2 linked regions of the Lonchura striata genome follow. The protein of the gene in region 1 interacts with the protein of each later gene in a biochemical or structural test. Links are inferred from orthologs where the notes say so. Each region holds a gene or a part of one and is shown in the gene's direction. Other genes may lie near its edges.

What was found. The genes of interacting proteins can lie anywhere in the genome.
Region 2: the proteins of TNKS (region 1) and AXIN1 form a complex in vitro, tested with the Homo sapiens proteins (2 studies listed by BioGRID). The link is inferred for Lonchura striata from reciprocal best matches to the Homo sapiens genes TNKS and AXIN1.

The regions. Positions count from the first base shown.
Region 1 is NC_134606.1:43,898,984-43,902,726, forward strand, and holds the start of TNKS (poly [ADP-ribose] polymerase tankyrase-1), read left to right. Parts: upstream 1-1,329; 5' UTR 1,330-1,338; coding exon 1,339-1,828; intron 1,829-3,743.
Region 2 is NC_134618.1:4,334,932-4,338,674, reverse strand, and holds the start of AXIN1 (axin-1), read left to right. Parts: upstream 1-1,305; 5' UTR 1,306-1,372; intron 1,373-3,355; 5' UTR 3,356-3,449; coding exon 3,450-3,743. UniProt on the Homo sapiens protein: Component of the beta-catenin destruction complex required for regulating CTNNB1 levels through phosphorylation and ubiquitination, and modulating Wnt-signaling.

The DNA.
Region 1 (3,743 bases):
AAAGCCAGGTTGGATAAAGCCTTGAATGGCCTGGTCTAGAGGGAGGTGTTCCCTGCCTATGGCAGGGGATGTTGGGACTAGATGATCTTTAAGGTCCATTCCAAGCTCTTAACATTCACGATTCTGTGATTCTACGAAGCCACGCTGCCGGCTGGATCGCCTGCAGGGGAAGGGAGGTGAGCGCTGGCTACCCATGGGGGCCGGGTAACCCACCCACCTCTGGCGTGACCAGTAAAGGAATGTGATTTGTTTGTCACTTGTTATAAATGAGAATTTATTCAGCCAGATTAAAAATAAAAATAATTTTATTTGCGGTCAGATTCTATCTAGTCAGCCACACGGAAAGGACAGAGCCGAGCCCGGGATCGACCCTGGGTGTGCAACAAGGAGTCAGCCTCAGCAGAGGTTTTCTCCTATGCCCACACACCTCCATCCTGGCATAGGCGGTTTTTATAGGGAAAATTCTGCCTGAGGCCAAGGTTTTAGCAATCAGTCCTTTCTTTTATTTGGAGAAGGGGGGGAGGAACTAATACAACGGGCATGATTTAACAAGCATCCAATATTACATATTTCATACAAGGAATGGCGCGAATTATATTTACTATACATAACATCACTGATGCCACAAAAGCACCTGGATGGTGAAACATGAATTGTGGAAAGCCGGCGGTGAGCTGAACAAGTTCATACCGATGCTTCTTAAGTACTTCACAAAGCCTGGATCTGACCATGGGGTGTTGCAATTAGCTTGCAAAGCCCTTCTGTAGTTTTGACACGAGCGGCGGCTGTGCAGAAGCAGCTGTTCAGACTCCGGTGTCGCAGCCGGATCGCGCCGTGCAGGCGGAAGAAGGGCGCCTCGCCCCTACAGCGGGCTCCGCGGGTGAACGCCGTCCCTCGCCCGCCCCTCCGAGGCCACGCCTGACGAGTTGCCGTCCCGCCCCTCTCCCGGCCCAGCGGCTCCCGGGCAGCGCCGGCCCCACCCGGACTCGGCCCCGCCCCGGGCTCCGCCCGTCCCTCCCGCGCGGCCGGCAGGGGGCAGGCGCGCCCCGCGCGGGGCGGTGCCGGGGCGGTGCCGGGGCGGTGCCGGGGCGGTGCCGGGGCGGTGCCGGGGCGGCGCCGGGGCGGTGCCGGGGCGGCGCCGGGGCGGCGCCGGGGCGGCGCCGGGGCGGTGCCGGGGCGGTGCCGGGGCGGTGCCGGGGCGGTGCGGCCGCGCCCCGCGGGCCCCGCGCGGGCGTCACGTCCGTGCGCGGCGCTCGGGGTTGGCGGACGGGCGGAAGCGCGGGCGGGGCGGCGCCGTTGCCGCAGTGACGGGGCCGGGAGGGGCGGAGCGGCGCGAAGATGGCGGCGGTGCCGCCGCGTCGCTCCCAGCACCACCATCACCACCACCACCCGCCGCCCGGCCCGGCCGCACCGCCGCCCACCGCCGCCTCGCCGCCGCGCAGCCCCAGCCTGGCACCGGCCGCGCAGCGCCCCAGCCTGGCCGGCCCCGAGGGCGAGGCGCCCCCCGACGCGGACCGGCCCCCGGCCGCGGAGTGTGCGGAGGGGTCGGGCGCCGCCGCGCCTGTCCCGCCGCCGGGCTCGGGCAGCAGCTCCAGCGGCTCTTCCTCGTCTTCCTCGTCCTCGTCCGCGTCGTCGTCGGCGGCGTCGAGCCCGGCGGCGGAGAGTCCCGAAGCGGCGGGGCCGGGCGCGGCGAGCGGGGCGTTCCGCGAGCTGCTGGAGGCCTGCAGGAATGGGGACGTGACGCGCGTGAAGCGCCTGGTGGACACGGGCAACGTGAACGCCAAGGACATGGCGGGGCGCAAGTCCACGCCGCTCCACTTCGCCGCCGGTGGGTACCGGAGCCTCCCGTGCCCGGCCGGGGCAGTGACAGCGAGCGGGACAGGCAGGGCTCTCCTGGAATAGCTTCGGGCAGCGCCTCGGTGACTCGGGAGTGGGCAAGCCTAAGCTGGAAGAGTGTGAGCACACGCTCTTCCCCAGCGGCGTTTCGCTACAGGCTGTCGGGAGCTGGTTGTTAAATCCCCTTCCTTTGGGTGAAACCAGTGGGAGAGGAGATCCTGGGAGCGTAAAGAGACTCTAAGACCTAAGAGTATGGACAGTGATCTCGGTGTTTGATATCCATGGGCTGCTGCAAAGTTGTGCAGTGGACTTAGGAAGCAGGAAACTGAAATTCAGGACAGAGTTGACTTGAAGTATGGGTTTCATCTGCGTTCTAACAGCTCAGAGAGTCCTGTGATGCACAAGTACTTCAGTCTTGATGCCTTGTACTTTGTAACTTCTCTCATTTCAGCATGGTTGCTGGTTGATGTCTGCATCTCTTGTGGTCTGAGTAGGCTGGGGAAAGGGATCAAGTGGAACAGCTGAACGGTATAAGTTAGATTAGTGTCCAAGAAAAAATATACTTATTTGTGCAGAAAAGAGATGTCATTGTGATCAGAACTAATGTTATAAAAACAGTTTAGCAGTAAGGTCCAACAGTGTAGACTAACTGGAAGTAAATATTACCTTTTGGCAAATGGAACTGTAACAGATTACTGCAGTTCATAAAAAAATATTTCTTACAGGGTGTATTCTTCACTGGAGGCACACAAAATTCATTATAAAAGTAAAATGAAGACAGTCTTTTAAATCATTACTCCTAAGTCAGGGCTTGTACAATTGCTAGATCTGTGGTCAGTCTGAGAGCTCTCTGAGGTGTGCCAGGGTGTCACAGAACTGCACCTTACATAGTGAAGTGCACAGATCTAGCTTGAGCTTTGTGGTGCACTGGTACACATAAATTAAGATAATTAACAAGTCTGTATCGAGTGATAAGTGTTTGAGTGCTGGCATGTAGCTCTAAGTCATGTTTAAATCAGTAGCAAAATGAACATTTTATGGCACAGTGTTGCCTGGCACTCTGAATAGTGCTGTACAATTTATAAGTTAGATAACACACACTGAGACTGTATGGGTTTGTTTTCATTTTCAAAGTACAAGAGGTATTTGACAATGCCCCTAAGGGAACTTTTGGTCCTGGGCTGTTTCCTTTTCTTTCTTTGATCTCTGAGCTCTACTGCTGAGACGGGGCTTAAGCAAGTGGAGTTTAAAACGCAGCAAATTTCTGGGGTATGGAGATGGACTTAATTTTGATGAACCTTGAACTTACTTCTGGTACCAACTGCATGTGTGCTTATGAAGTTCTTAATGTTTTGGAAAGCTTGAGTCTGCTCTGCTACTTTTGGATTCAAACTTAAAGTTAGATCTTGCTGTTTCCCCTAAAACTCTGAGATCTCAGGTTGTAACTTCAGTGTCTGTACAAACTGTAGTGCTGAAGCTGCAGCGGGTAATGTCTGCTCTGATTAGAGAAGAAATGGACAAAACTTAATTGAGGGGGTAAGGTTTTGAAAGTTGATAGTATTATTAAGATGTTACTGTAATAGCAGTGGAAGGTGATTTGTTGTAGCATGAGGAAAATAGCAAATGAAGTTACTGTATCTAACAAATTCCCATATCCATTTTTCTAGATTTAAAGACTTCCCTTAGATACCATACCTACTTTATCTCAAATGGCTGCTTGTCTGGTGCCAGTGGATTAGACATGTAAGAGCATTAGGCACGTTTCTTATTACATAGATCTTGAGATCATCATTTTGGAAAGGTCTGTAAGCAAGCATGTTGTTTGAATGCAATTGATCTTAAGCAGTGTATACCTGCCAGTGATGCAGTGTGTTGATTTGATCTCTTTTGTGGGCCAAAGGTAAAAT
Region 2 (3,743 bases), on another chromosome or scaffold:
ACATCATCCTGCCAGACTCTGTGCTGGGGTGGGATGGGGAGTGTCACTGCCAGAGTGGATATTTGGGAACTTCATAAAACTGGAAAAAGAAATGTTACATTTCCAAAAGTTTTCTCTAAATGCACTGAGGCAGTCAACTGTGGCAGCATCATCACATAAGAAAGGAGAAACAGTCCCTATTGGAAACTATTTTGTTATTTCTGATTTTCAGAGGACTGTCTAGTGTCTTGTTTGTATGTTCAGCCTGGCTCGGAGTCTATCACTGCTTTCCAGGGAAGACACGCTTTTGCACTTCCCTGTCACGCTACTCTCATTTGATCTCTGCATCTGGCAATTCACTTCTTCTCCCTTCAGTGTCCCCATCACTGCAGCCTCAGAGCTGGTGCACCCTGCTGCACAGAACCCAGCATCGCCTTGGGAGTCTCCAGGCGGTGTGACCCTTCCAGTCCATGCAGTGCCACCTCTTGGCCAGCCCCTGCTTTCCCCCAGCGGCAGTTGCCCAGCTCAGAGAAGCAGGACACACACTGCAGGTTCCAAAGCAGCTCTAGTTGTTGTTGGAGGCAAGAGCAGCTGGTGCACCGGTGCCCCTACATCCCCAGGCCCACGGTGCGTGGTCCAAAAGTGACAAAACTCGGGTGTGTCATGGTGTTCAACGCGGACAGCACCGTGGAGCCTGGTGGTGTTTGAGGGTTGATGCCTTCCCTGGGCAGAGCCCTTCCACGAGACCCCGGAGGTCTCCCAAGTTTCTCTGGGCCGTCTCTGCCCGGGATGCTCACGGGCTGCCCTCATCCAGGGCCGGACGAAGCCCTGGAGCCTCTCAGCCCCTGAGGCGCCTGCCCAGCCGGGGCTCTGCGGGAAGCCGAGCCCGAAGCCTCGGCCATGTGCCGGAGCTGTCCGGGGAGCTCAGCCCGTGCGCTCGGCAGCGTGCTGCGGCTCCCGGGGCTCGGTGCCTCCCCCAGCCGGCACCCCCGCGCTTCCCGGGCCGGCCCCGCAGCGGGTGCGGGGCCTGCGGCCGCGCCGGGCCCGCGTGCGGCCGCGCCGCCTCCCCGGGCCGGGCCGGGCCGGGCCCGCTCCGCCCCGCTCCGTCCCGGTCCCGCAGTACCGGGCGGGGGCGCGGGGGGCGCGGCTGAGCCGCCGTGCCGGGCTGGGAGGCAGCGGCGCAGGCGGAGCGGAGCGGAGCGGGGCTCGGCTCGCTGCTGCTGCTGCTGCTGCTGCTCTCGCTCCCCGCCGCCGCCAGCCGCCTGCGGCCGCGGCCATGGGCGTCCCGGGCCGCCCGCTTTGTGCCGCCGCTGCCCCTCCGGGCCGCCGCCGCCGCTGAGCCGCATGGGCCGGGCCCCGCGCCGCCCCGGGCCGCCGCCGCCGCTCCGCGCGGGTGAGTGAGGCGGCCCCGGCCCAGGCCCTGCGCCGAGGCCGCGCCGAGGCCGCCGCGGGCGGGAGCGCGGGGCCGCGCCGGGGCCGCCGAGCCGGGCTAGGCCGCCCCGGGCGCGGGGGGAGGCCGGGCGGGCCGGGAGGGGAGCGGGGCCGGGGGCGGCGGCGGGGGGGCGGCGCGGGCCGGGTCCCGCGAAGTTGCCCGGGGGGCGGCGGGGGCCCCGCGCGGTGCCCTGTCAGCGGCGGGGCCGCCCCGGAGCCCACCCGGCCCCGCGCCCGCCGCGGGTCCCCTCCGGAGCCGGCCGGGCGGCTCGGCCGGGCGCCTCGCGTGTCCTCCGGGAGCTTCCTGGGGCTGCCCCGGCCGGGGCGAGGAGCCAGCGCCGCCCCGCCGCAACAATGCCCGGCGTGGCTTTGGGGCTGCGGTGCCGCTGCCCCGGGCGTCCCCTTCACCCGGCCGGGGGTCACCGAGGACCTGCACCGCACACGGGGGGCGAGTCCCGCTCTCGCTTTCCAGGAGCGGGGTGAAAACCACCCAGAACCGCCCCGTGGTGCCAAAGCCCAGCCTCGTCCCGCGGTGCCGGGACAGGGGCTGCGTGCCGGGGGCTCGGGCCGGGCGTGAGCGCGGCGCTGGCTCCTGCCGCGCTCCTCGCGGGGCCCCGCCACCCTCGCTGGCCGCTCCTGGGCTCGCTGGGTTGTTTCACGATGCACAGGTGGGCTGTAAGGACAGGCACGGCATCGGCGGCGGTTCTTGGTTTAGCCAGGATCAGGAAATGGGGGGTCAATGGTAAAGCGTCCCAAAGATGTTCGTTGTTGTGGGGTTTGTTTTGAGAGGGAGGGCGAGCTAAAATGTGTCTTTCTTGCTGTGTTTTTACGTGCAATTGAGTTAACCCAGTGCAAGGAGTAATTTATGAGGCTGCTGGTGCTCTGCAGTACTTGGGGCTTAGAGGCTGAGGCTGTTCTGTTAACACAGGGCTTTTGCTACTTGCTTTAAACGATGAGGTTAATTTGTTGAGCAGCAGAAGTAGCAACCCAGGGATTGCCCTTTTCTTCCTTCCCTGCCTTCCCCATGCCTTCCATCCTCCATATTGACTCATTGCTCTTCTTTAAAAACACCGTACTTGATCAGGTTTCCTTGTCAAGGTGGTTTTCTCATCTTCCTTTGGTGACCTGAAATTTTCCCAGGCTCGTAGCATGCAATTCTCTTAGCGTAAATGAACCTTTTCTCAACGGCTTGCCTACAAAAAGCAGTGCTAGAACTGAGCTCCTGTACTAACATGCCCATCTGAAGCAAGAATGCAGTCCAGATGCCCAAAATATTAGGGTCAACGATGCATCTGGATTCCCCTAGAGCTAGACGAGGCGACGCGGCTTATTTCTGAAACGCAGAGATTTGTGAGGAATGTGGCGCTGGTATGTCACTTGAGCTACGAAAGCCACCTGTGTTTGATTAAGGTGCAGCCCTGCTTTCAGGACTAACTGGATGTTTTTTAATAATAATTTTCACAAGCCTTAAATTCCTGTTTAAGGGTAAGAATTTCCTAGATCCATAGCCAGATAAAAACATGTTGCCTTAGTGTGATCTGGTATACGTCCTGTCCAGGTAGGCAGTGCAGAAGAGCTGGTGGCAGTGCAGAAGGTGGCATGTGTCCTGTAGTACCTGAGTATGGATCTTTTGGATGTGGGCTGCCACATACCAGGGTCATGTATAAACCACCGTTGTTGGGAAATCTGCTGGTGTTTTAGCATAGCATCAGTTGTATCAGTGATGCTGAATTCTGGATATAAAATTTTGGGATGTTCTGTAAATGTGCTTGTTAGCCTCTGTCTGATTTGAGCTCAGTTCTGTGCTCTCAGAAGTTACCAAGCCATTGATCCTGTTGAAAAAGAGGTGTTAGTACATTAAAGGTGCAGAGCATAACCTCTAGTTTGTTGTCTTAGAGCGTTTATTTCCAGTGATACTCGCTTATTTTTTCCTTATTTGTTTCAGCCAAACAAACCTGTTTACCTTGGAGCTACAGATATTGGTGACTTGAGGTTAGCGCTCATCTCCCACTGTTCCCACGCAAGCAAGGACCAGAAAAATGAATATCCAGGGGAAAGGCTTCCCCTTGGACCTCGGAGGAAGCTTCACTGAAGATGCTCCAAGGCCACCGGTTCCTGGTGAGGAGGGGGAGCTCGTGTCCACAGACCCAAGGCCAGTTAGCCATGGTTTCTACTCTGGTAAAAGTGATGTGGTCAGAAATGAGACGTCCACGGCAACACCGAGGCGCTCCGATTTGGATTTGGGGTACGAGCCCGAGGGGAGTGCTTCGCCAACTCCACCCTACCTGAAGTGGGCTGAATCACTGCACTCCTTGCTGGATGACCAAGATGGC